7 linked regions of the Rattus norvegicus genome follow. The protein of the gene in region 1 binds, or shares a complex with, the protein of each later gene. Links are inferred from orthologs where the notes say so. Each region holds a gene or a part of one and is shown in the gene's direction. Other genes may lie near its edges. The genes, in order: Tmem237, Tctn1, B9d2, Tmem216, B9d1, Tmem17 and Cep290.

Region 1 (3,500 bases):
TTGAACTGAGAATGCGGTCCCCATTGGAGGAGTTAGAGAAAGGATTGAAGGAGCTGAAGGGGCTTACAACCCCATAAGAATAATAATACCAACCAACCAGAGCTCCTAGGGACTAAACCGCTACCCAAAGAGTACACATGGACAGAGGATAGCCTTGTCAGGCACCAATGGGAGGAGAAGCCCTTGGTCCTGCCAAGACTGGACACCCCCCACCCCCATTGTGTAGGGGAATGTCAGGTCGGGGAGGAGGGAAGGGGTGGGTGGATGGGTGGGGGAACACCCTCATAGTAGAAGGGGGAAGAGGAATGGGATAGGGGATTTATGGATGGGAAACCAGGAAAGGGGTTACATTTGAAATGTAAATAAAAAATAGCATATATATATATGATATATATATGATATATATATTTAAAAAAAGATGAATAAATTGGGGCTAGAGAGATGGCTCAGCAGTTAAGAGTACCAACTGCTTCTGGAGGTCCTGAGTTCAATTCCCAGCAACCAAATGGTGGTTCACAACCATCTGATGGAATCTGATGCCTCTTCTGAAGAAAGAGACTGTATACTCACATACATAAAATAAATAACTAAATCTTAAAAATAAAGATGAAGAAATTACATATCTAAGTAGTCAAAGGTGAAAGAAAAGGAAAGTTACAGTCCAGTGTAATTTTTAGAATAAAAAAAATAGCAAATTCAACCCCTTCTATTTATTTATTTATTTATTTATTTATTTATTTATTTATTTAGGTTTTGAGCACATGTGCTTGTAGGTGTGAGGTAGACGAGTGACATTCGTGTGAGGTCAGGACAACTTTGTGGGGCCAGTTCCGTCCTGCTGCCTCTGTGGGTCTAGGGCCAAGCTTAGGTCAGCAGACTTGATCTGAGGCAGCACCTTTACTCCACTCTGCAGGCTCCTGGTCTGTTTTCTAAGATTTTATTTTATTCCAATCACTTACATGTGCATGCTCGTGGAGGCCAAGGCGCCAGATCCTCCTGGACCTGCAGTTCAGGCGCTTGCTTGTTAGCCTTCAGTGATTGTGTTCTGTCTGCTCCGCACTCCCAGGGAGATTTCAGGCGGCGGACCGTTCGGAGTTGATAAAGACCACAGAAAACGTAGATGTGTCAATGGACATGAAGCCATCTTGGACTACCCGCGATGTGGCACTTTCCGTGCACCGAGCTTTCAGGTGGCTGCCTTTTGTTGGTGTTCATTAAGCAAATGTTAATTGGATAGCATCGTTTAAAAGAAAAATGTTTGGCTGTTCCAACTTCGTAAACAATTTAAAATGGAATGTAGATTTATTCTTGTAGACATTCCATTTGTGCTTTTCAACTTTATTTTATTTGAGGAGGTTTTAAAAATACCTTAGCTTTTTATTTTAGTGGCTAATACATAACTAAAATCTTCTGTGCAGGATGATCGGCCTCTTCTCTCACGGCTTCTTGGCTGGCTGTGCTGTGTGGAATATTGTTGTGATCTGTGTTCTCGCGGGAGACCAGTTCTCTAATGTCTCCAACCTTCTGCAGCAGTACAAGCCCTTGGCATATCCCTTCCAGAGCCTTCTTTACTTGCTTTTGGCTCTAAGTACAGTTTCAGCATTTGACAGGTAAGGCTGTTGTGAATGCGGGCTCTTCTAACCTTCCTTCAGGAAGAAATAGTAAGCAATATATGTCACTATGGCTTTTCAAGGTTGAATGACCCTTTTTTAAACCAGTCTTTGGATTAGTATGGCCTTGTCTTCATTTCACTGTATTCATAGAGATCTTGTTTCCAAATGAAGTCACTTTCTTAAGGACTAAGGTTAGACCTTCACCACTTATTTTGGAGAACACAGGTCAACCCATTTTTAAAAATATCAGCAGGGCTGGAGAGATGGCTCGGTGGGTAAAGATGCCTGCTGCTAAACCTGCTGTCCTAAGTTTGCTACCCAAGAGCCACGCTGTGGAAGGAGACAACCAACTCCTACCTTCACATAGCTCCTGTGTGTGTGAGTGCATGGGCGTGTACCCACCTGCCCATACAAACTAAATAAAATCACACCCCCCTCAAAAAAACCCAAACAAACCCTGCCTATTGTCATGACTGGCCTGTTTTTGTGATAAAACACTATGCAAAAACAGTTTTGGGAGAAACAGGTTTGTTTTACCACATATTGTATGGTCCCCTGTCAGGGGAACACACAGCTAGAACTCACCAAGGCCAGAACCTGGAGTTGTGAACAGAGACCTGGTACTGGTTTCTTCTCCATGGCTTGCTCAGCCTTCTTTTTATACAACCCAGTACACCTGCCCAGCGACGGGCCTGCCCCAGCGATGGTGTCGCCCAGAGTGAGCCGGGCCCTCCCACAGTCTTGATTTGTTCCTTGGTTGTTTTTTTTTGTTTGTTTGTTTTATTTTGTTTTTGAGACAGGATTTCTCTGAGTAGCCTGGGCTTCCTGGACTCCCTCTGTACACTAGGCTGGCCCCAAACTGACAGACCCACCCGCCTCTGCTTTCCGAGGACTTGGATTAAAGGTGTGCACCACCCCGGCCCTGAGCACATCAAGAAAATGCCCCGATAGACTTGCTTACAGCCCAGTCCTATGGAGTCATTTTCTTAGTGGAGGTTCCCTCAGCTTCCCAGATGACTCTAGGTAAAGACCAGTTGATAAAAACTAGGCAGCACTGTAGTCCAATAGTTTACCGGGAAGAGGAGGAAGCTAATGATTTTTGCCAATCAAGGTTAAACTGTTTCCTCATGTGTCTTAATACTCATCTTCGTGTTAGATAGACTTTGTAAATCAGGTAGATACTTTCTTTGTTGAAGTTCAGACGTTAACTAGAGACTGGCAAGGGACAGACGTGGTGGCGGTAGAATAGAGAAGGGGACCCAGCAAGGGAAGATACTGTTGTGTTTCAGCTGCACAGTGACACAAAGTCTTCATCTCGTTCTAGGATCGACTTTGCTAAAACCTCAGTAGCAATCCGGAACTTTTTGGCCCTGGAGCCAACAGCTTTAGCCTCTTTCTGTAAGTAATAGTTACCTTAATAACTATGTTATAATTGAGGAGAAGAAAAATATTGTACAATTTATACTTTAAAATGTGGTAGGAGTAATTTTTTTTTTTCGGAGCTGAGGACCGAACCCAGGGCCTTGCACTTGCTAGGCAAGTGCTCTACCACTGAGCTAAATCCCCAACCCAGGAGTAATTTTTAAGAACTGTTTTTTGTTTTTGTTTTTGAGGCAGGATCTGTTACATAGCTCAGGTTGGCCTTGAACTTTCTGTGTGGTTGAGGATAGCTTTGAACTTCTCATTCTGTTTGCTTTCCCTTAAGTGCTGGGATTTGCAAGCATCCTCTGCTGTGCCTGGCTTACAAGTGTTTCTCATTTGAAGATCATCTAAGAGGTCCTGGGTTTAATGCCCCACACCAAAAATAATAAGTAAAGTTAAACTTGCTGGCCTTCATTACTTACTTAGCTTCTGTGTTTCCCCTTGGCAGACTCAGATGGCCTGGCA
Region 2 (3,999 bases), on another chromosome or scaffold:
TTTATATATTCAGTGCCGAGAACTGAACCCTGGTCCTCTGCAAGCAGCAAGTGTGCCTAATGGCTGAGTCATCTCTCTAGCCCCTAGATGGACTCATTGACCTATGATGGGGAAAAAAAAAAAAACCTAACAAATGAGTCCCCAGGGTCCCTAAGGATTCCAAAAACGTATGAGCAGATGCAGTCTACACCTTGACTTTTACATTGGGGCCATCAGGGCTTGAGATTAGATAAGACGACTTTGAGAACTGAACTTTTCGCAGAATGGTTCGAAGCATGGGACTGTAAGACTTGAGGAGGGGTTGGAGGGTTAAGAGTTCTGGCTGCTCTTTCAGAGGTCCTGGGTTCAATTCCCAGCACCCATACGGCAGCTCATGACTGTCTATGACTGTAGTCTCATGAGATGTGATGCCCTCTTCTGGTGTGCATACGGACATAACACCCATATACAAAAAATACACAAATAAACCTAAAGAAAGAAAGGAAGGAAGACAGACAGACTTGGGAGGCAGAAGCAGGCGGTTCTCTGAGTTCAAGGAAGCCTGGTCCACAGAGTGCGATCTCGGACAGCCAGGGCTATAGAAACTCTGTCTCAAACTCCTCCCCCATCTTCCCCAACCAACCAACGAACACACGAGAACATTCCGAATGACATAACAGCAGAAATGGAGGTTGGATTCCGTGGTGCATGTCTGCATGAGGCACTGATATAGGACTTCCTTGAGTTCGAGATTAGTCAGGCGGACACAGAGAGATCCTGTCTAAAAGAACCAAAAAGTTAAGAATTCTTTTGTTTCTCTTATCATAAATACGTGGATAGAAGTGGTCTGGCGACCTCCTGCGTTGTATCTAAAGGCAAAGAAAGTAAAGTCAGTAAGTAACATGGGGTAAGAAATTCAAGGATGGTGGCAATATGTCTTAAAGGACTCCAGTCGCCTCTAAACATGCACTTCTAACCATGACACATTAGTTTACAGATTCCGGTTTTCAGAGGGCTCCTTAGAAAGAGCAGTCTCAGACCCCGCCCCCACGGTCCCGGCCCCGCCCCTCCGACGCCAATCAGGTCCCGCCCATAGCCCTGCCCAGTTCCCGCCCCTTTCGTGATCGGCGGGCCTTAACCCAATCCCCGCTGGTCTGGCTTCAGGCCCCACCTTTCTCCGCAGACTAGCGTGGCCTCGCGAGCCCTTTCCCGTGGTGCCTAGCGCTCGGCTGTGACTGTTGCCCGGCAACAGACAGGCCTAGCTCTCTGGCGCGGGATAGTATGCTAGTCCATGGGGTCGCGGTGTCTTCCGCCGCTCCTGCTGGTGCTCCTAAACTGCTGCACCTCTTCGAGCACCCAGGTCGTTGCCACCCCGGCTGCGGCCACCCCGGTGGTGACGAATGAGGATCTCAACTTCACCGAGGCCACCCCGGTGGTGACGAATGAGGATCTCAACTTCACCGAGGCCACCCCGGTGGTGACGAATGAGGATCTCAACTTCACCGAGGCCACCCCGGTGGTGACGAATGAGGATCTCAACTTCACCGAGGCCACCCCCGCCACTCTCAGACCCTCCTGGTCTCCTAGGACCCCGGGAACTCCCAGGCCACCGGAGCTCTCTGGCCCCAGGCCCACCCCGGTCACGGACGGTGGGTACAAAGTGCTAACTCCCTGGAGCGAGTAGACCAGTAAGAACGTACGGAAAATGATAACCCTTCTCAAAGTTCCACCTTTCTCAGCCTCCCTGTCGTTCCCTGAGAGGGAGACGGGATCTCCAGCACACAAACGCGGAGAGCGGAGCTAAGTTACTCCCTTTCCCACATAATTTCAAACAGCTGGAGTGTTGATGCAGAAAGTGACTCTGGAGTGGAGTTCTAGATAGAAACCTTCAGAATGAGTTGTAGGCAGTACTGGTAGAAGAAAGGGTGCTAAGTAGATCTTAGTCCTTTCCATGCAGACACACGGACGTGAGCATACGAATGCTGTTTAGATGACTTGAGAGCTCAGTGGAGTTATTAAACATGCCAGCTTTACCCTCATCTTCTTACCTTCTGAAGCTTTTCCAATAATTCGTGGTTGTAATTTTAAACACATGAGGCAGTGGGCCTAATTGCTCTCTTTCTGCTTTCCGTGCCAGTTAAGGGATTGTGGCGTTATTTTAGCGAGCATGCCCAGTTGTCCATGGCTAGAGAGGACCTCATCTAGAAGGAGCACATTTGCCTTTCGGACTAAGAAACATTTTGCATTTATCAATAAACTTCCTTTTCCTTTTGTGTCTTTCCAAAGCACATTATACCATTTTGGGGGAGAATTTTTCTTAAAAAAAAAAAAATATATATATATATATATATAAATATATAACACACACACACATACACACATATTTAATTATGTGTGTATATTTGTATAGGTGAGCACTTGGGTGGCTGGATATATATTGGTGACCTTGGAGAACATAAAAGGGCCTCAGAGCCCCGGGAGCTGGAGTTGGTTTGTAAGCTGCCTGACTTGGGTGCTGGGGACAGAAGCAATATGTGCTTTTTTAAAAACTCCTGAGCTATCTCTCCAGCCTCCTGTAGAAATATTCTAGTCTCCTGCTTTCTCCTTTTTTCTTAACTTTGTTCCTGACAGTTTTGCTAAGTGACCCAGACTGGCCTATATATAACCTGATACCTTTCTGACTATCCTGACTGCTTCCCTGTTGCTGAGATTCCCAGGTGTGGGCCTCCCATCATGCCTCCCATCATGCCTCCCATCTCTAGAGGTTGTTTTTATTTTTTTTTTAAATCATTCATTCATAGAAACAATGCCATGATGTCCTATTAGCTAAAGTTCTTTAAGCCTGAGATTGTTGCCTCTCCCACTCCCCCTAGGAAACAAAACATTACAGTTAAGAATCAGGGAGCTGGAGAGATGGCTCAGTGGTTAAGAACACTGACTGCTCTTCCAGAGGTCTTGATTCAATTCCCAGCAACCACAGGGTGGCTCACAACCATCTATAATGGGATCTGATGCCCTCTTCTGGTGTGTCTAAAGACAGCTGCAGTGTACTCATATAAACAAAATAAATAATTCTTTTTTTTTTTTTTTTGGTTCTTTTTTTTCGGAGCTGGGGACCTAACCCACGGCCTTGCACTTCCTAGGCAAGCGCTCTGCCACTGAGCCAAATCCCCAACCCCAAAATAAATAATTCTTAAAAAGAAAATCAAGTCAGGTGGTGGTGGTGGTGGTTGTACACACCTTTATCCTGGGGTAAGGTGGGTGGTACAGAGGCAGGTGGATCTCTGAGTTCAAGCCAGCCTGACCTCCAAAGTAAGTTTCAGGACAGCCAAGGCTACACAGAGAATCCATCTCAAAAAAACAAAACAAACAAACAAACAAACAAACAAAAAAACCAAAAAAACAAAACAAAACAAAAAAACCCCCAAAGATTCAGTGACATTTTAGCTGGGGAAAGGGAGAACCGTGGTGGGTCACAACTGTGATCCTTCATCTTCTGCTGAGAGGTGGGAGGTTAGGAGATCCGATCCAAATGAGCCTCTGTTTCAGAAAACAAAGAGCAAAACAACCAAGATTATCAAAGCCCCAAATTTATTACTTCCTCCCCCTCACGGCAGTCAGAGCCATGCATTCAGTTTACTTCCAGGCTCTGGTACTGGTCGTCCTCGTTGTTGTATGTTCTGGTTTTTGAGATTTATAAGGGGTGTTTTGCCTCTGTAGATACCTGAATGATGCCATATATGTGCCTGGTAGGTACCTGCAGAGACCAGAAGAGGGCATGAGATCCTCTGGAACCAGAGTAACAAATGGATTTCTCTTTTTCATAGATTTATTTATTTAGTCATTTAATGTATGTGAGTACACCGTAGCTGTCTTCAGACATACCAGAAGAGGGCGTCAGATCCCACTACAGATGGTTGTGAGCCACCATGTGGTTGTTGGGATTTGAACTCAGGACCTCTGGAAGAGCAGTCAGTGCTCTTAACCACTGAGCTATCTCTCCAGCGCCTGTTATTTCTT
Region 3 (4,020 bases), on another chromosome or scaffold:
AAATTTGCAGCAATCCTCCTGCCTCAGTCTCTCACAAGCCACAATACTCATCATAAAATGTTTTAAATTTTTTTTTTCCGGAGCTGGGGATCGAACCCAGGGCCTGGCGCTTCCTAGGTAAGCGCTCTACCACTGAGCTAAATCTCCAGCCCAAATGTTTTAAATTTTAAAATTGGCTCCAACTCAAAAAAAATCTAAGAAAAAAGGAAAGAGACCCCCTTCAATCCTCTGCCAAAGGGGCTTCTTCCTTTCCTTTTGTAGGGTTTATTTTTATTATTTGTGTATGCCACATGTGCAGGGGGAGGGAAGAGGTGGAGCTGTAACTCCTGGAGCTGGAGGTGCAGAATGCTGGGAACAGAATTTCAGTTCTCTGGAAGAGCAACAAGCAGCAATGTGAGGGAGCTCTGAAAACTGAAGAGAAAACCTGTAACAGAAGAGAAAACCTACTTCCCAAGTCCTCTAGTGTCAGAATGTGGAGATCCTTTTATCCCTTCAGCTGTAACAGAGAGATGATCACAATGTGAATTCCTTTAGGTGCCCGTTTGGTGTCATCTGGCTTCGTTCTGACTATGATCCTGAACAGGAAAGGTGTTTTGTTTTGTTTAAGGAAGCAAAGACTATCAATAGATTTTCTTATTGCGTGAAGAAGATATGGAGAGGAAACAGTTGGCGCTCTAACTTCCTCGACTGCTGATGGAGATAACCCGCCAGGCCTCCCACTCTGAGGCGTAAGGCGTCGCGAGGGTAAGACCGACGCAGAGTTCCCAAAAATGTACCGAATGACTGCGTCCATCACAACTACGCCCCACCCCCAGAGGGCAAATATAGCACCAATCATCAGCGCACAGGGCGGGCTCAGGGGAGGAGCCTGCTGTTGCCCCAGCAACAACCCGGGAACCCTAGGAGAGCGAGGCTGCGGACCTATCTACCTCAGGTCTTCCTCCGCCTGGAAGGGCCCGGGCGGGGCGCGAGACTAGCCTCGGCGGCGGCCGCAAAGAGGAAGAGGCCAGGCCCATGAACTACCATCCCCGAAGCAGCTTTCGCTTCTAACGGTCAAGTACGCAGAGGTAGGAGCGACGCATGCGCTACGCCTAGGGGTAGGGCTAAAGCAGCACTACATCTGAGACGCATGCGCCTTTTGAAGCGTGGCTGATCTACCGCGAATGGGTGGAGTCACACATCCTGGGGCGGGGCTTTCTAAGTGTCTGCGCCTTGGTTTACTGGTGCAGATTCCCGCACCTCTCGGGGGTGGGGGGTCTTCCCCATTTTTCTTGGGCTTTTCTGGGAAGGTGGCTTGTATCTGTGATGAAGACCACATTGTCAGTGTGTTAGTGGAATTAGCTTAGAATCACAGTACTGTTCTTCATGCTATATTGGCTTCAGTTTTCCCAGTTGTCCAAAGGAAATAATAAGTTTACCTCACAGAGCTGTGATTGGATTTTTCCTTTCCTAGAGCCATGGCCGAAGTGCACGTGATCGGGCAGATCATAGGGGCCACGGGTTTCTCTGAAGGTAGCCTCTTCTGCAAGTGGGGCATCCACACAGGTATTCTTCCCACATTCCCAACTATTACCCACCCGCCTCCCCTAGCCTATGTCTCCATGTTCTTTCCACGACTCTCCAATGAACTTATACCATACTGTCTGCTTTAAAAAAAAAAAAAATATCCAGGGGTTGGGGATTTAGCTCAGTGGTAGAGCGCTTGCCTAGAAAGCGCAAGGCCCTGGGTTCAGTCCCCAGCTCCGGGGTAAAAAAAAAAAAAAAAAAGAAAGAAAAAATATCCTTTTCTTTCAGGTTATACCACCATCTGAAAACATAGCCCGTAAGCATATGGGGCTGTGACATAGAACACACACACACACACACACACACACACACACACACACACACACACTTCCTGTCCTCAGGCCAGTAGACAAGCTAGGTGTGGTTATGCATATCTATAATTCCAGCACCTAGGAAGCCTTCCATTACAAGTTTTTTTTTTTTCTTTTTTTTTCCGGAGCTGGGAACCGAACCCAGGGCCTTGCGCTTCCTAGGCAAGCGCTCTACCACTGAGCTAAATCCCCAAACCCCTACAAGTTTGGTGCCAGCCTATGCTACATGGCAAGAGACCCTGTCTCAAAGAAAAGAGCACAAAATATTCACAAGATTATCGTAAGCGCTAGAAAAAAAGAAGCAGAGTGATGTACTGGAGGTTGATTTGGGATAGGGAGGTCTGAGTCAGAGAAAGCCTTTCTGTGCAAGTGGCTCTTGAATTGGGGCAGGAGGGAAAAGGCCGGAAATAGGGCACCCAGGAGCAGACATTTCCAGGCAAAAGGAACAGCCACTGCCAAGGCCCTGAGGCAAGGGAGCAGGACAGGACCAGTGAGGCTCCAGGGTGGGGAAGGGTAGTGGCTGATGACTGACTGGATCAAGAGTGCACGTGTGGCTTTTTTTTCGAGGTGACAGTGAGGAGTCTGACAGCTTGGTGTATGTGCTGGGCGAGGGAGATACGATGAAGGCATTTCCTGGAGCATTTAGCACAGCATCTGGGATTTAGCGCTCAGTAGGTGGGCACTTTCCCCTTATTCCTCACTGGGGCCATGGTGTGCTGCTCTCAGATGGTGCCTAATCTCGTGAGGTTTTTGAACTAGGCCTCTGAATGGGGGTGGTGGGGATAGTAGGGAAAGGATGCCAGGAATCTCATCACTTGGGGAAGGTAGGCAGGAGGGTCAGGACAAGTTCAAGGTCATTCTCAGTACGTAAGAGGTTTGAGGCTAGCCTTGGCTATATGAGAGGATACCGGTGCTGAGAATATAACTCATTAGAGCATAGAGCACGTACCGAATAACACACAAGGCTCCTGTCTGGATGGTATCCCCAGCAGTATGCATAAGGACTAACACATGATGAATATTTTAAAAATCAATACTCCATATTTGCTCTACATCTTCTCATAAATTGTGAGACTTTTTTTTTTTGTCACTCGTTCTATAGATAGGGAAACAGAGAAAAGTAACTCTGCAGGGGTTGCACAGATAAAAGAAGATAAGACTTGGGGCTGTGGATTGTACATTGTTGCTACAGAGCCCTTGCATATTTAGTGCTCTAGGTTCCATCCCGAACACTGCAAAATACACAATACATGTATGAATAGTACCAGACTTTATTTGTTTTCTGAGACAGGGTTTTTCTATGTAGCCCTGGCAGCCCTGGGAACTCCTGTAGACCAGGCTGGTTTCGAACTCACAGAGATCTGCCTGCCTCTGTCTCCTGAGGGCTAAGACTAAATGTGAGTGCCATCACCGCCCAGGTCTGTTCTCTCTCAGGTGCTCTTCATCTCCTTCCGGTTTTCCTTTTGAGACCCACGCTGTAGCCCATGCTGACTTCACACTCATCAGGCAGCCCAGGAAAGCCCTCCACACACTCCCACATGCTGAGATTTCAGGTGTAGACTGCGGGTGCCAAGATCTGAATCCAGATATTTGGTTCTAGTGTTTACACTGTGTAACTCCCCACTCCCAAATACCAGGGGAAAACAAACCAGGTCTCCTTCCTGAAGGGTGCTACTCACCCCCAACCCTGTGTCCTGTTCTCATTACAGGGGCCGCATGGAAGCTCCTGTCAGGCGTCCGGGAAGGCCAGACGCAGGTAGACACACCCCAGACAGGGGACATGGCTTACTGGTCCCACCCCATTGACCTGCACTTTGCTACAAAAGGTCTCCAAGGTACGTACAGGATGACAGGAAGGGAAGGGGCAGTCAAACTAGGAAGAGCTGGGCTTGGAACACCCTGGCCGTCTCTGCTCCCCATACTTTGTGGGTCCTTTTTCTGGTGCATTTGAGGCTTCACTCGAGCTATGCAAAACCCTACCTAGGCCGTGGAATGTGCCAGAGGTCGGGGTAGAGGAGATAGCAGGGGGAGGGGGGTCAAGTGGCAGAGGAGAAGGCAGTGAGGAGGCCGGGTAGGGTGAAGAGAGCTGGATGGGAAGGCGAGGGACAGGAAATGGGCCAGTTGCCGCTGCTCACACACGGAC
Region 4 (4,209 bases), on another chromosome or scaffold:
TGTACACAATATGTGTAGGCAGGGTGATTTAAGACCCATAATTTAAAAAAAACAAGCAACTGGTCCACCTTCCTTTGCTCTGAGGTTCAGAGCAGGAGGTGTGTAAAGGTAGCACAGTTGGGGTGCAGGAACCAGGGTTCTTTCCATCACCTCATCTTGCCCTGGTTCTTGATAGTGGGGATTAAAATTCCATTTAGGACCTGCCAGAGCGTTGTGACACCCACTTGAAACTCCAGGACTGGACGGGAAGCAGAGGCAGGAGAATTTGAGGCCTGCCTAGCCTACATAGGGAGATCTGTCTAGTCAAACTAAACCAGACCAGAATAAGCCAGTGAAGGAGGCAGGAAAGCAGAGGTGGAGGTGGGGAGTGATAGAAATAGGCTTCTGCTTAAATTATTCTCTCCAGGTGAGGAATTGCTTTAGGTCTTTTTTTTTTTTTTTTTTTTAAATTTGAGTACACTGTAGCTGTCTTCAGACACACCAGAAGAGGGCATCAGATCCCATTACAGATGGTTGGGAGCCACCATGTGGTTGTTGGGAATTGAATTCAGGACCTCTGGAAGAGCAGGCAGTGCTCTTAACCGCTGAGCCATCTCTCCAGCTGCTTTAGGTCTTTGAGAAGCAACAATTACTGCTTTTATTCACTAGGTAGGGAAATAACACTTTCATTACAGGTTAGTTACTCTCTCCAGTTATTTGTTGTCTGACTGCCATACTCTAAGGGCTGACTGCAGAGTCAACCCATGTCTTTTCAGAAGTCTTACTCTTTTACTCTGCGGCCTGCAACAACACGCTCTTGCTTCGAATTGCGGCCAGGATTCTTAACTCAAGCTTGTTGGAAACATCTCTCAATTTCTACCTGGGCATAAACTGTCTCCCTTCAACACCTTTGCACTTTTTGGGTGGCAGGAGAGCCACGTTATAGCACCGCTGTTTACCACATGTCCTAGAAAGGTCATTCTACCTCCAGTGGTTTTGGTGTTTCCACAGGATTTTGTTGCGTCAATGGGCCCTAGGTAAGCCTTGTGCACAGTGGCATGCCGTGCTGCTTTTTTTTTTTTTTCTAAACTAACACATGGCAGTAGAAAGAGAATGGTGGGCCTGGGGCCGCTCCTCCAAGTATTCGGCCGCACCCGGCCAATGAAGCCCAACACCATGACGCCAGGGGTGGAGAGTTCAGTTCGAGAGCTGTTTGGGTCTCCTGGGCTCTTTCTGCCTTCGTATATAACCTTATCCTCTCCCTAGACCACAGTCCGCTGTTGACCGCGGGCGTTGCTCCGTGCAAGGGCGCGGCCGGTGGGGTAACCATAGAGTAGCACTCGCAGGCAGAGCGGCCAGAAAACCCGGGCGCCTCTGTGCCGCGCTTCCGGCAGCGCTGCATTGCCCCGGGCGCTGCAGCGTACGCAGTTTCCATGGGGACTGAACATGGCGCCGCGAGGTGAGACTCTGGAGGTGTGTGTCTCTGCCCCTTATATCCCACTGGTACCTGCCAGGCCCCTCTCCAGAGCTCTACCTAATCCTCCATTTCTAAAAGTTGGGGTCTTACTCTTCACTTGTCCGAATTGGGCTTGGGTTGCTCAGACCACCCCGAGTGGCTGCATGGATACTCGGATACTGTACTCTTAAAAATTCCAGGCTGGCCCTGCTCTGGGATGGCCCAGTTACGAATCCTCCGGCCTTGGACAGAATTAAGCAAATTTCTGTGCTCCAATGTCCTCTTCAGTAGTGACAGGGTTGAATATCTGAGGTGCCTCTCGGCTGTGATTATAGCTTAATTGTCAGAGAAGTCGACCTTAAAGTGATTCCTGGGAAAGGAGGTTGAAGGCAGTTCCCTTCACATCAACACTCTTAGCAACCAGAAGTTTCTCCCTCATTCACAATAACCTTGTGTTTTCTACAGATTACACAGAATCATTACACAGAACGGGGCAGAGCTCCAGCTGCCCTGTCCATTCTTTGTGTTGCTTTTTTTTTTTTTTTTTTTTTTTCCCAGATAAAAGATTGTCCTCAACCCCTCTGGAAATCCTGTTCTTTCTGAATGGGTGGTACTATGCTACCTATTTCCTGCTGGAGCTCCTTATTTTCCTGTACAAAGGTAAGGCTGGGCCTAACTGGCCTGCTTCAGCAGCCCTTTTCTACTTTAGCCTACTCCAAGAACCTTCTATCTTCTGGCCCCTGCAGCATCTCCACTGCAAGGCAGAAGTCTCTCCAACTAGTGGCTTTGGAATGATCAAGTAGGAAGTCTTTCAGCAAGTCTTGAACTTGAGAAATGTGGGCTTCCCCATCCCTCTTTACTGAAATATTCAGATCTGTGTACCGTTATAATTCAGTCATTTGGGAGTCAGGACTTCTAGACTTAAAGCCTGTGGCTGTAACAATCTATACCTTGCTAACTGATTCATGAGAAGTTAAGACTAGTATCCTTGTCCCTGGATGTGTGGCAGCCTTGTGGGGATGTGGGGGCTGTTTACATACTCTGGCTTTTACACTTGTAGGTCTCCTGCTGCCATACCCAACAGCCAACCTAGTCCTAGATGTGGTGATGCTGCTCCTTTATCTTGGCATTGAAGTAATACGATTGTTTTTTGGTGAGTGTTGTTCAGAAAATATTTCCATTGCTTATGAGACATGCTGGAGCCTGAAACTTGATAACCTAGGCTCACTATCAGAGATTGGGTCTGTGTAATGTATACCATTGATTGCTTCCTCCCTAAGGCTTCAAGCTGCTGCTTTGTATTTTAGGTCAAGATTTACCTGTGTGTTTCTAAGTGAGGCTAGAACTGGCAGTAGCATTTGATCTTAGCTCATTCCTTTCCAGTTGCCTGACTACTACAAGAGTGCCTGCTTCTTCTCCTTGCTTTGTTTGAGAGAGTAAAGCAGTACATTCCTAAAGAACTCTAAGGTTCCCTCCACTTCTCTAAACAAGGATTCCTCTAGAAGCTTTTAAACACCAGAGACACAGAGCAAAACTGCTGATTACTTAGAACATATCATCCCAGTGTTAAGATACAAACCCAAGGGAGAAAAATGGTAAGGGACACTAAGAGTCAGTTCACATATAGAAGACCAAAAACCTTGCTAAGGTGAGCATGGTGGCACATGCCTTTAATCCCAGTACCCACTGACAGAGGCAAGAGGATGGCTATGTGTTCCTAGACATAGTGAGTTCCAGACCAGACAGGGATGTATAAGGAGATCCTAGCTCAAAACAAACAAACAAACAAACAAACAAACAAACAAAAAAACCTGCCAATGTGATCAAACTTAGTAAAGAAAAGCAACAAAAACAAGGGAAAAAAAAGCAAAGAAAAACATGGTAACATTTTTTTCTTTTATATATTGGCAATAGTAAGAAAGATTTATACAGTACAGAATCCATATTTGGCTTTTAGAATACATATTTTTTAATTAAAACATTGTTTTATGTCTATGGATACTTTGCCTGTATGTATGCCTGTATAGTACGTGTATGTCTGGTACCCACAGAGGTCAGAAGAAGGTCTTGGGCTAGAGATGGCTCAGAGGTTTAAAAGGACTTTTAAACCTCCTGCTTTTGCAGGAGGACCCCAGTTTAGTTCCCAGCATTCACATTAGATAACTTACAACTGTCTAATTCCAATTCCAGAGGATCCAATGTTGTCTTCTGGGCTTTGTGGGCACATACAAGCACAAGTAAGAATTAAAAGTTATTTAGAGAGAGAGAGAGAGAGAGAGAGAGAGATAGAGAGAGAGAGAGAGAGAGAGAGAGAGAGAGAGAGAGAGAGAGAGGCGTCAGATCCTCTGGAACTGAAGTTACAGAGTGCTGAGCTGCCATTGAGTAAACCTGGTCCTCAGGAAATCAGCAAGTGCTCTTGACCACCCAGTGCTCCTTCTCTGTAGCCCTAAAGAACAGACATTTTTAATGCACTTAAATTATTTTCCATATGAATTGAAGTTTTAACGTACATATACATTTACATACACACATGTATATTATAGCTATACATATTTTACTTTGTTTATAAATTATGTGTATACATGTGGATATAAACATACATGTGTATACACACAGATACGCAGTTTGGTTTTGGTGTTTTGAAGCAAGGAGACCAGGATGAACTTGAATTCTCAATTCTGACCTTAGCCTCGTGCATGCTGGGATTATAAATGTGTACTTCTATGCCTGGCTCATATGTTGCTTTTTTTGTCTTTTTTCTTTTTTGAAACAGG
Region 5 (2,549 bases), on another chromosome or scaffold:
GCTGGAAGCACTGTGGCTTACCCTCTGCATTTGGGAGTCTCTTGAACCAGGATGGCAGTGGCCTCCCTTGTTTGCTTCCCTTTTATCAGCCCTTGGATTTTTGAGCCCACGAGGTTCTGCTCTGCTTCAGCCCTTGCCTGGAACATTGTTCTGTCTCTTCTCAAATGGAAAAAGATTTTTTTCACTTAAATGTAGAGAGAACTTTGTGGAACAACTCCACCAGCATTCCGGTTTGCCTGAGGAGGTAGGACTTTGTCTACTTTCTGGGTAGTTTGGAGCAGGCTTTCTGGTAACCATGACTGTAGAAGAGAACTGGAAATATGGCCAGGGTGCCTACATGCCAGGATTGCTCTGAGACTCCTCATAGTACTGAGTGCAGTTAGAACTTTTATGTTGGGAAACAGAAGAGAGACACCCACTCATCTAGTTTCTAGAATGCTTAGCTGTAGGAATCCTGGCTTCTCTACTTAGGTTGTCTGAACTCTTCTCCTACGGCCCCCTCAGGAACTCCTACCCAGCAGTTTAATAGGACTGTGATGTCTAGCCTAGAAGTCCAGAGATCTAGCCATAACCTCAGCATAGCTGTAGGTTGTGGGTGTGTAGTCATGGTTACAAGAATGCCTGCTGCAAACTGTCCAGGTAGAAGACGAAGTCCTACCTCTTCAGGCAAACAGGAATGCTGGAGTTGTTCCACAAAGCCTGAGTTAGTCCTAGCTGCTGTGCTTGGGCTAATTCTGTATGCTCCAAGCCTATACAAAATGCAGGGTCTGTATCCATATATCATAGAGCTGTGGGTGGGGCCCAGGATCTGAAGTTTGGGTGCAATAGGATTGTGAATTACAAGACATTTGTAGGAAGTGCTTCTGAGTTTGCCAGCCAGGGCCTGGGGGCTGAATGGTACCCTTGGCTAGGTGAGACTTTTAAAAGTCAGATGACCTGTCGCTATCCACAGGCTTCCAGGGCCAGATCCTCCCTAGAATGGGTAATGTTTCATACAGCAGGTGATAGGGTGCCTTCACTTCACAGTCTCATGAGGTAGGTGCTATTATTACCCTATACTAGATAAACAGGTTCAGTGGTGGGGTGTGGCTTGTCCTGGATCCCACATAAGGAGACAAAGCTTAGGAAGCTGGATCTGGCCCTTCTTGGGGTTAGGCTTTCTCTCCTGGTTGTACTATTGGCCCTGCATCTCTCTCAACATTCACCCTTGGCTTAAAACCACAAAAGACTTGGCCAGGCAGGCTAGACACCCCTTGGAGCACCTGGCACTATTAGAATTGTTGGCAATGGACCCCTAACAGGGGACATCTCCTGGCACCCCGCTTGGCCTATCAAATAGGTAGGAGGTTGCCCTGGCACCTAGAGGAGGGGTTGCAGGAGAAATGCTACAACCTCTTAAGCCTGGAACACTCTTGTTCAGTGTCTGAAGCCAGCAAGTCCCAAGTGCTCCTCACTGGTGTTTTCCTGTTCTCAGCTGGTTCATGGGACGTCGGCCAGAGTACACTGACCCCAAGGTGGTGGCCCAGGGTGAAGGTCGGGAAGGTAAGACTGATGCTTCAGGTAACTTAAGGGTTGAGATGGGTCCCCAATCCCTAGGAGCCCAGAAAACACATGTGTGAAAGTCAAGGAGCTTCCAGACAACTGGGACCTAGTGATATACAAGACACCCAAAGAACTTTCTAGACCACCACCTACCTACACAAGGGCTTCAGCAGGTGGTTTCTGTCTGTCCCAGTCAAACCCAGCTAATGCTCAGCTTCTGTCCCCAGTGACCCGTGTTCGCTCTCAGGGATTTGTTACCCTCCTCTTCAATGTGGTGACCAAGGACATGAAGAAGCTGGGCTATGATACTGGGCCTGTGGACACACAAGGAGTCCTGAGTCCCAGCCTGCCACAGGGAAACCCACAATAAAAATGTCAGCTTTTCTCTCCACCACTGTGGACCAAATACCTTACAGCCCACACACAACCAAGGACATACCAACCTGGCTGAGAAGTGGGGGAGATAAAGATAGTTTTATATAATAAAGTGTCACTTTTTTTTCAGAGATTCTGGGGCCTGCATTTCTTGATTTCTTCATTAGCACCTCTCTAACAGAAACAGGCCTGGCGCCCAACAGGATGTACCCAGTAGAATGTCATGCTGGAGTGGAGGCCTCTCCAGGACTGCTGAGCAGTTTGCACAGAGCTGACCCCCCCTTTCAGTGTCTTCTTCAGCATCAGGAAGTTAGTCACTTGCTCCATGGCTGGCACTGTGACTATTTACCGTATTGTTAGCAGACTCCCAGGGCCCTGAGCGGCACCTGCCTTCCACCATGCATTCCTGTGCCCTACTTCCATCCTGATCTTCGTGTGCTGCCTGAGGATAGGGAAAGAACCATCCCAGGCAGGAGACTACCACCAGTGCGGGTTCCGGGCAAGCGCCGTAGCCCAACACCCTGACATCTGTGGGCCCCTAGTTTTCTCCACGCATGCTGGTAGTGTGACACATGAATTAACATGTTGTCAAACTACTCCACAACTGCTGGTCTCACCAAAGCTTGCTGTGG
Region 6 (4,145 bases), on another chromosome or scaffold:
TCCGAGCTTCTGTAATTGTTGGTTAGAATGTTACAGATCAAAGGACGAAATTATCTTAGGCTCTCTTCAGTCCTCTTGATATCCATTTACCACTTGCCTCTGTATCTGATCATTCCATTCAGAAAACACCTTTGGAATCTGTTAGGTTAGCCGATTGTGGCTTTCACCAATCCACCAACCCAAAGCTATTATACCCTCATACAGCATTTGAGACCTATGGCAAAGGTGTCCCTGCCTTGCTGTGACCTGCCTACCTGGTGTCCTCACTAATGGATTTAGTAGACGCATTGATTTATGGCTATCTTGCACCCTCTAGTAATACAAATTCATATTGCCACTTTGATGGCGGAACAGATTACCTGGATAACCTGAATCTATCTTTCCCGCTTTGGGGACTCATAGTTAGCTCAGAATAAATCCTTTCTCACTCCCTTTGGGAACGAGGTTTCTGATGGAGTTACAGACGTGAGCCACCATGTGGGTAAAGGGAAATGAACCGGGGTCCTCTGCAAGAGCAGTGAGTGTTGGTAACCGCTGAGACATCTGCAGACCCACCGCCCTTCACCAGAAAGATGAAAAGGTTAGGGTGGAATATAAGCCCACACTCATGAAATAACAGGGACGTTCAAATATAGCTGGAGGTGGGAGAGTCTGATGAAACCTCTTTGGGAATGTGTTCGTAGATCCCAATAAAATCGGTCTTACACACCACTCCACTCAGCACTTCTCCGGCACACTCTCAACATAAACGTGAATGTTACACTTGACAAAAAGGTGTATGTTATACTCAACATAAACATATGCTTACCAACAAGCATTTTCACCAACAGTGGCACCTGTCATAACTGCTCCTACGTAGAAACTACACAGAAACTTATCAACATAGACAAACTTGGTGTGATCATAAAATAAAAAGAAGATTCATACAAATGTTGACATCAAAGTCAGATTTTCTTTTTAAACTTCAGTGTGCGATTAGTGTACTATAAAGTTGCTTCATAAGCAACTGAGAAAACGTAGCTCCTGGAGATGCTGATACGGTTGACTGACTTGGGTGCTGGTACATCCGATTGTGCTTTTCTTTATATGGCTATTACGGTTTGTTCTGGGTTTTAAGGATTTTGCAATGTAGTCCAGGCTAGCCTGATCTCCTGTCTCTGCCTGAGTGCTAAAATGATACATCTTAAGGGAGAGCAGGGAACGGCTGATGTTTTTAGTTTTTAAGTCACCCATATTCCAGAAACAACTGCTCTCAATACTTTTGAGTTATTTTCCTGTCTTCTGAAGCAGGTTTGCTTGTCTCATCCACCCTGGCCTTACTCCAGATTTTATGTACCGATAGAAAGGAACCTACTGGGTCAAGCGCATTCTTTAAGATTTATGTTTCTTTTCCATTTCCCTCTAGAAATGGCGCACCAATTTTACGGAAAAACTGCCTTGGTGTGAGAGCTCCTTGTGGCTCAGCTCAGGACCAAATGGCTTATTACTTGTGATCATCTTAAGACGCTGCAGCTTTAAAGCAAGACGGAGGAACCCTCCATTTTCAGCAGCACTAGGCCACATTCGGCAGCGGGCCGGTGGCTCCCGCTCGCCTCTCCGCGGAGAAGGCTCTGGAGGACTCTGTTCCGCGCCGGGCAGCCCAGGAACCAGGTCCCCAGCGGCCAGCACAGCCCTGTTGCCAAGGGAACCGCCACGCGCCGCTGAGCTGGCCCACTAGCGGGAACGTGAGGGGATAGGCCCGGGCAGGCCAGACATGGAGCTGCCGGACCCTGTTCGTCAGCGCTTGAGCAACCTCAGCCTCACCATGTTCGGCGACTCCAGCCGTACCGGGCCAGAGTCCAGTGAGGCCGCGGGTGAGTGGCAAGGGGCCCCACGCGGAGGTGTGGTTCGCGGGCGGGCGGCCGCATAGGCCGTGCCCGGGTCAAAGATGGCGGCCACGGCTTCAGCCAGGGTACTGTCCTGGGTTAGGAGACCGCGACCCTGTGGCGGACCCGGGAGACCACGAGCTTCAGTAGCCACAGCTACTGCACCCGGTGGCGCTGTCGCCGAGCGGATTGGGAGGCAGAGTGCATAGCAGGAACGCCTTCTCCCACAAGCCGGTCCCCGCTACGTGAAAGCAGTCCGCTCGCAGGCCAGGGTGGGGAAGAGGCTTCCCGCTCCCACCCTGCACAAAACCGGGCTGTGTCCAAACTCCTAGCAGAGCAAGCACGTTCCTCACCAGCCACTGGCAGCGGCCAAGCTAACATGGCCTTCCTCTGCCTGTTCCTTTCTCCCTGTATAAAAAACTCTCTCCCTCAATCTAATAACGAAATACCACCGAGTTGACCCCAGTTTCTGCCTCCTCAATCAGGACGACAGCGTACATGATTTTCACCTTTGAACTCAAGAAAGTGGAAATCCGTCTTGATTTGGGCTTTTTTTATTTTTATTTTTTAAAGGGGGTATTGGAAAACAAAGCCACTTCTCATCATTGCATTTTGTCACCTTGGTCATTTGTGTAATTTAGGTTATGTAGGGGAAAACCTGAAAAAAATTAGGATTTTATGTTTCTGATTTAAAGTGCGAGCCTTACCGTGCAGAGCCTCAACAACCTAGATAGTAGCAAGGCTGACTATGCATTTACTCCCAGCACTCAGTGGGCAGAGGCCAGCCTAGTCTTCAGATCAAGTTCCAGGACAGCCAGGGCTATACAAAGAAACCCTGCCTTGGGGGAAAAAAAGTCATTCCTATATTTGGGATAATTTAGGATAGTTTAAGAAATCAAAGCAAGAAAAACAGACCACAATAGTCAGCCTTGCTCTTAAAACTTAGTTTCCTTCTAGAGACCATGATTTTTTTTTCATTAATTTGTTTTATTTTATGTGCATTGGCTTTTATGCTTGTGTGCCTGCATGTACACCTGTGTTACAGACAATTGTGAACTGCCATGTGGTTGCTGAGAATTGAACACAGGTCCTCTGGTTAGAGCAGTCAGTGCTCTTAACAACTGAGCCATCTCTCCAGTCCCCTACCCCATGATTGTTTTAAAAGTATTAACCGTCAATTAAAAAAAACTATGCAGAGAAAAACAAAAATCAGTTTCAGTGGAAATTCTCATTATCTTCCTAAATTCTTACATTTAGAACAACCAATTTAAAATAAGAATGTAGTTAAATTATAATGTATTTTAGGGCTCAATTTTTATAATCAAATTCTTGTTGAAGGACCTTTTGTTTTCTTTTTTTTTCTCTCTCTCTCTCTTTTTTCTTTTTTTCGGAGCTGGGGACCGAACCCAGGGCCTTGTGCTTCCTAGGCAAACGCTCTACCACTGAGCTAAATCCCCGGACCTTTTCTTTTATACAAAAGCAAAAGATGTTGGGTAACCAGTCTAGTAAGTAGAATGTGTGAGTCACAAATGGCCACCTGTATGGCAGCATGCTTTTGAAAATCAGTTCTTTTTGCTTCTACATGGTTGGTATTTGTACGATTCTGAACAGGACATGTTAAGTGAAATCTGTGCTTACACTGAGACAGCATTGTCTCCGTATACAAGGAAGGGCACTGTCTGTGGAGTGCCCACTAAGTGTGATAGGCATAATGGAAAGAGTGGAGTTCCTCACAACAGCCTGTGAGGAGTCATCCCTCCAGAGATGATTAGGGGAATGCCCAGAAAGATGTAATAATGTATCCCAACTCTGGCTCCTAGAGTCTCTGTCTTCTGTCTTACTTAGTCTTTCTAGTGCTGTGAAGATACAACGTAACCAAGGAAAACATTTAATGGGAGCCGGCTTACAGATTCAGAGGTTTAGTCCATTATCATCATGTTAGGAAGCATGGCAGACGTGCTGGAGGAGTAGTTGAGAATTCTACATCCAGATTGGCAGGCAACAGGAAGAGAGAGTGACAGTGGACCTGGCTTGAGCGTCTGAAACCTCAACGCCCAACTCCAGTGACACTTCCTCCTACAAGGCCATGCCTCCTAATAGTGCTGCTCCCTGTATATACGTGTGTGTGTGTGTGTGTGTGTGTGTGTGTGTGTGTGTGCAAGCAGCACTCTTGACCACTGAACCATCTCTCCAGCCCTAACCAGCACTTCTTATATGCAGTTCAGAGAGGAAAATACCTAGAGGGGCAAGATTTCTTTCGGAGTGGGGGAACATAATCAA
Region 7 (3,500 bases), on another chromosome or scaffold:
GCAAAGCAGTGTCGCCTCTGTGACTCTCACCTCATTGCCATGTAGCCTTCTGTAATGTCTGTCTTCTGTTCGTTCAGTGTGAAAATGCATCGCTGAAAGAACAGATGGAGGGGCTCAGTAAAGAGCTGGAGATCACAAAGGAAAAGCTCCATACCATCGAACAAGCCTGGGAACAAGAAACGAAGTTAGGTAAGTCTTATTACTCCGGGAATACCGGGTGAGAGATAAATAACAGTCGTTTTTTTCTTTTTTCTTTTCTTTTTTCTTTTTTTTTCTTTTTTCTTGTTTACTGAAAAATTCTTTTCTGTAGCAGAATATATGGATATAGTTTGATTTAAAAAGATGAACTGTATCCCATACCTTAGTTTAGTACACAGAGGAAGAATACTATTCTGGGTGTTTGCTTTATAGTTCTCACATGAGATTTTTTTTTTCCTGTTAAAATCATATGTTATTAATTTATGATTCAACACTAGCTATTTCTGTCTTTATTTTTCATTAATATATTTATTCACTTTGCTTCCTGATTTCAGCCCCCTCCCTGTTCGTCCAGTCCACCCTCACAAATCCCTCCCTCATTGCCTCCTCCCCTTGAGTATCACTTGGGTACTACCCTGCCCTGGGACATCAAGTCACAGCAGGACTAAGGGCATCCTCTCCCACTGAGGCCAGACCAGGCAGTCCAGCTCAAGGAAGGGGATCCAGTGGCAGGCAGCTGAGTCAGAGACAGACCTGGTTCCAATTGTTAGAGCACCCACATGAAGATTATTTTGAATTATTATAATGGTATTCTTGAAATACATGTTTTTTTCTGAATACAAAGTTTATGTGTTGTGTATTATTTGATACCTTTTAAAATATCAAAGAAAATTTGGGGATTTATATTGCTTATATTTGTAGCAGTATATCATCATAATTCTTTTATGGATGTTTTTATTTTTATGTATTTTAAATAATAAATATTACTTGTTATATACTATACCAATTTAGTAGAAATTCCAATTATTTCCATATTTTAATCATTTTTCTCATAGAAATTTATGCAATATTATATTGTTTGAGTGATTATGATTAAAGCATTAGTTTTTAATTTTGCCATTATTTAAAGTGCTGCAGAGATCTTCATCTTTATCTGACTTGCCATATTATTGAATATAAAATTGTAATATGATAGTATTTGATACTGCATGCTTATAATGCCCAAAATAATGCTTATTATTTGAGATTATCTTGTAGAGTTTCTTAATCATATCACTTAATATTTTACTGTTGACTTTAAAAATATTGCACCTATATGTCTAAAGTCACACTGCTGTCCTGTATTGTCCCAGTGCAGTTAACATTACTTCCACAGCAAGTGTTCTTTACTGCTTGTCAACATGCTCCAACCTGTGACAGCTCTACATTGACCTACACATGGCCATTTCAGTAAATTGCATTTTTTATTGTCATTTGATAAATGGAGATCTTTATTCTAGAAAGAATACATGAATAAGGATCAGAAAGATAGGAATAAATAAATGGAATACAGATATGTCTTAATTCAAAAGTTCATACAACTGTGCTTTTTTTTTTTTTTTTTACACCTCTCCTTAATTGTCTTTTGTGTGTTGTATTATTCCACGTAGGAAATGAATCAAACATGGATAAGGCAAAGAAATCAATGACAAATAGTGACATTGTTTCTATTTCAAAAAAAATCACTGTGTTGGAGATGAAAGAATTAAATGAAAGGCAGAGGGCTGAACACTGTCAGAAAATGTATGAGCACCTAAGAACTTCATTGAAGCACATGGAAGAACGAAACTTTGAATTGGAAACCAAGTTCACTGAGGTTTGATACGATTTTTTTGATGTAAATAGGCAGTAAGAATTCAATAGTAGACACTGGATTATTGCTAGGAACTTTGTGTCTCTAAGCTAGCATATGCATACAGCATTTGCACTTTATATAATGGATATATAGACTATTCTTTCGAAATCTCAGTACTTTACACTGAAGCACTTGTTTCTGTAAACACATTCTTTCTTGCCAATGTCATGGTATTGTTTTTAGTGAACAGAAGGATGTCATTTCTTTAAAAGCAAGTTGTCTTCCAATACTATCTCTTGTTTAAAAAGTATTCATTCTCTTTTTCACTCCAGCATCTGTTTGGGAACTGAAATTATATAGTAAGAGGCAAAATAGTTAAAAATCTGTGTTTTCAAAAACTTTAACAGCAGGTTATTATAGATACTTAGTGTGCTCTGAATTAAGTAGTCTGCAGATACTCAACAGCCTATGATTGAGTGACACCTTGCAGATGCTTAGGTTAAGATAGATTTCAAAAGCGTAAGTATCATTTTTTTCTTTTAAGACATTTAATGTTAGTAAAAATTTATATATTTTATAAAATTTAAAATTTTGTTGGCTCACTTGGGTTTATTCTTAAGTACTTTGCTTATATTTCAAAAATTCTTATGTATTGATTGCCAACATAAATAATTTATGATAGAATTAGACTATTAACTACATTTTTTAATTTGTTCTTGATTCTTTCTTTAGTTTGTTCTTATCACTTTATACCTGTTTCTGGGCTAAGGGAAAGTAAAGAAGACTGTAGTACTCAAGAGAGTAGAAGTTATGTCTCCAGACTGGAGCTGTATGTAGTTCATTGACTTAAGTTAGTGCGTGCCCTGGGTTCTATTCCCAGCATAAGGTAAATAGAATGAATACAATCACATAGTCCTGGGGACTGTTTTATTGTTGTGGCTTTTCCCATAGCTTACCAAAATCAACCTGGATGCACAGAAGGTGGAGCAGATGCTGAGAGATGAATTAGCTGATAGTGTGAACAAGGCAGTGAGCGACGCCGATAGACAGCGGATTCTAGAACTGGAGAAGCGTGAAGTGGAGCTCAAAGTGGAAGTGTCTAAGTAAGTGCTATTTCCTTTGTCTTTAAGTTCAATTACAAATATATGGAGCAGTACCTATACTCATATTTTTAAAAAAGAGGATTAATATTTTTATTTGGTTGTTTTTTAACCAGATGATATAACATTGAAGAGGAAATTACATCTCACAGTTTGCTTTTTTTTTTCAGAATGTAAGGATGCAACTGTAGAAGGCCTAAAGTTAAAACAGAAACCACGTAGGGCCTATGTCTTACTCATTGCCTGTTTGGGGGGAAGTAGAGATGTAAGAGTCACTTAGTATTTCATTTATTCACTTTTAAAAGAAAGGAATTTTACCTTTTTATAAGGTTGGTGTAAACATATAATTAATTTATATTTAGATTTACTTTAATTTTCTTCAGAGCTAGCTATGTGGTAGGCATCGTGTAAGACATCAGACATATTAATTCATGAATTCTTGCTTTCTAACACTTGGAAAATTGCCTTTCATTTGACAGTAGAAACTGCCCAGCTACTTTAGAACACTAACTATATGCGCCAGGTAGACACTATCACTCTTTATCTGGTCAGGTGCTGTTCTAGTGGGATCATAAGGAGCTTTGAGT

What was found.
Region 2: Tmem237 (region 1) and Tctn1 share a complex: the UniProt entries of both Homo sapiens proteins name them as parts of the tectonic-like complex. The link is inferred for Rattus norvegicus from reciprocal best matches to the Homo sapiens genes TMEM237 and TCTN1.
Region 3: Tmem237 (region 1) and B9d2 share a complex: the UniProt entries of both Homo sapiens proteins name them as parts of the tectonic-like complex. The link is inferred for Rattus norvegicus from reciprocal best matches to the Homo sapiens genes TMEM237 and B9D2.
Region 4: Tmem237 (region 1) and Tmem216 share a complex: the UniProt entries of both Homo sapiens proteins name them as parts of the tectonic-like complex. The link is inferred for Rattus norvegicus from reciprocal best matches to the Homo sapiens genes TMEM237 and TMEM216.
Region 5: Tmem237 (region 1) and B9d1 share a complex: the UniProt entries of both Homo sapiens proteins name them as parts of the tectonic-like complex. The link is inferred for Rattus norvegicus from reciprocal best matches to the Homo sapiens genes TMEM237 and B9D1.
Region 6: Tmem237 (region 1) and Tmem17 share a complex: the UniProt entries of both Homo sapiens proteins name them as parts of the tectonic-like complex. The link is inferred for Rattus norvegicus from reciprocal best matches to the Homo sapiens genes TMEM237 and TMEM17.
Region 7: Tmem237 (region 1) and Cep290 share a complex: the UniProt entries of both Homo sapiens proteins name them as parts of the tectonic-like complex. The link is inferred for Rattus norvegicus from reciprocal best matches to the Homo sapiens genes TMEM237 and CEP290.

The regions. Positions count from the first base shown.
Region 1 is NC_086027.1:68,042,583-68,046,082, reverse strand, and holds part of Tmem237 (transmembrane protein 237), read left to right. Parts: intron 1-1,066; coding exon 1,067-1,190; intron 1,191-1,418; coding exon 1,419-1,610; intron 1,611-2,413; coding exon of another isoform or gene 2,414-2,517; intron 2,518-2,937; coding exon 2,938-3,011; intron 3,012-3,500. UniProt on the Homo sapiens protein: Component of the transition zone in primary cilia. Required for ciliogenesis.
Region 2 is NC_086030.1:39,969,395-39,973,393, forward strand, and holds the start of Tctn1 (tectonic-1 precursor), read left to right. Parts: upstream 1-1,199; 5' UTR 1,200-1,270; coding exon 1,271-1,628; intron 1,629-3,999. UniProt on the Homo sapiens protein: Component of the tectonic-like complex, a complex localized at the transition zone of primary cilia and acting as a barrier that prevents diffusion of transmembrane proteins between the cilia and plasma membranes.
Region 3 is NC_086019.1:90,316,330-90,320,349, forward strand, and holds the start of B9d2 (B9 domain-containing protein 2), read left to right. Parts: upstream 1-1,220; 5' UTR 1,221-1,457; coding exon 1,458-1,545; intron 1,546-3,130; exon of another isoform or gene 3,131-3,586; coding exon 3,587-3,712; exon of another isoform or gene 3,713-4,020. UniProt on the Homo sapiens protein: Component of the tectonic-like complex, a complex localized at the transition zone of primary cilia and acting as a barrier that prevents diffusion of transmembrane proteins between the cilia and plasma membranes.
Region 4 is NC_086019.1:216,623,720-216,627,928, reverse strand, and holds the start of Tmem216 (transmembrane protein 216), read left to right. Parts: upstream 1-1,409; 5' UTR 1,410-1,425; coding exon 1,426-1,438; exon of another isoform or gene 1,439-1,452; intron 1,453-1,993; coding exon 1,994-2,095; intron 2,096-2,495; coding exon 2,496-2,588; intron 2,589-4,209. UniProt on the Homo sapiens protein: Part of the tectonic-like complex which is required for tissue-specific ciliogenesis and may regulate ciliary membrane composition.
Region 5 is NC_086028.1:46,691,697-46,694,245, forward strand, and holds the end of B9d1 (B9 domain-containing protein 1), read left to right. Parts: intron 1-1,420; coding exon of another isoform or gene 1,421-1,474; coding exon 1,475-1,542; intron 1,543-1,769; coding exon 1,770-1,912; 3' UTR 1,913-2,047; downstream 2,048-2,549. UniProt on the Homo sapiens protein: Component of the tectonic-like complex, a complex localized at the transition zone of primary cilia and acting as a barrier that prevents diffusion of transmembrane proteins between the cilia and plasma membranes.
Region 6 is NC_086032.1:100,718,327-100,722,471, forward strand, and holds the start of Tmem17 (transmembrane protein 17), read left to right. Parts: upstream 1-1,345; 5' UTR 1,346-1,753; coding exon 1,754-1,853; intron 1,854-3,250; exon of another isoform or gene 3,251-3,325; intron 3,326-4,145. UniProt on the Homo sapiens protein: Transmembrane component of the tectonic-like complex, a complex localized at the transition zone of primary cilia and acting as a barrier that prevents diffusion of transmembrane proteins between the cilia and plasma membranes.
Region 7 is NC_086025.1:37,241,783-37,245,282, forward strand, and holds part of Cep290 (centrosomal protein of 290 kDa), read left to right. Parts: intron 1-77; coding exon 78-189; intron 190-1,628; coding exon 1,629-1,834; intron 1,835-2,764; coding exon 2,765-2,916; intron 2,917-3,500. UniProt on the Homo sapiens protein: Involved in early and late steps in cilia formation. Its association with CCP110 is required for inhibition of primary cilia formation by CCP110.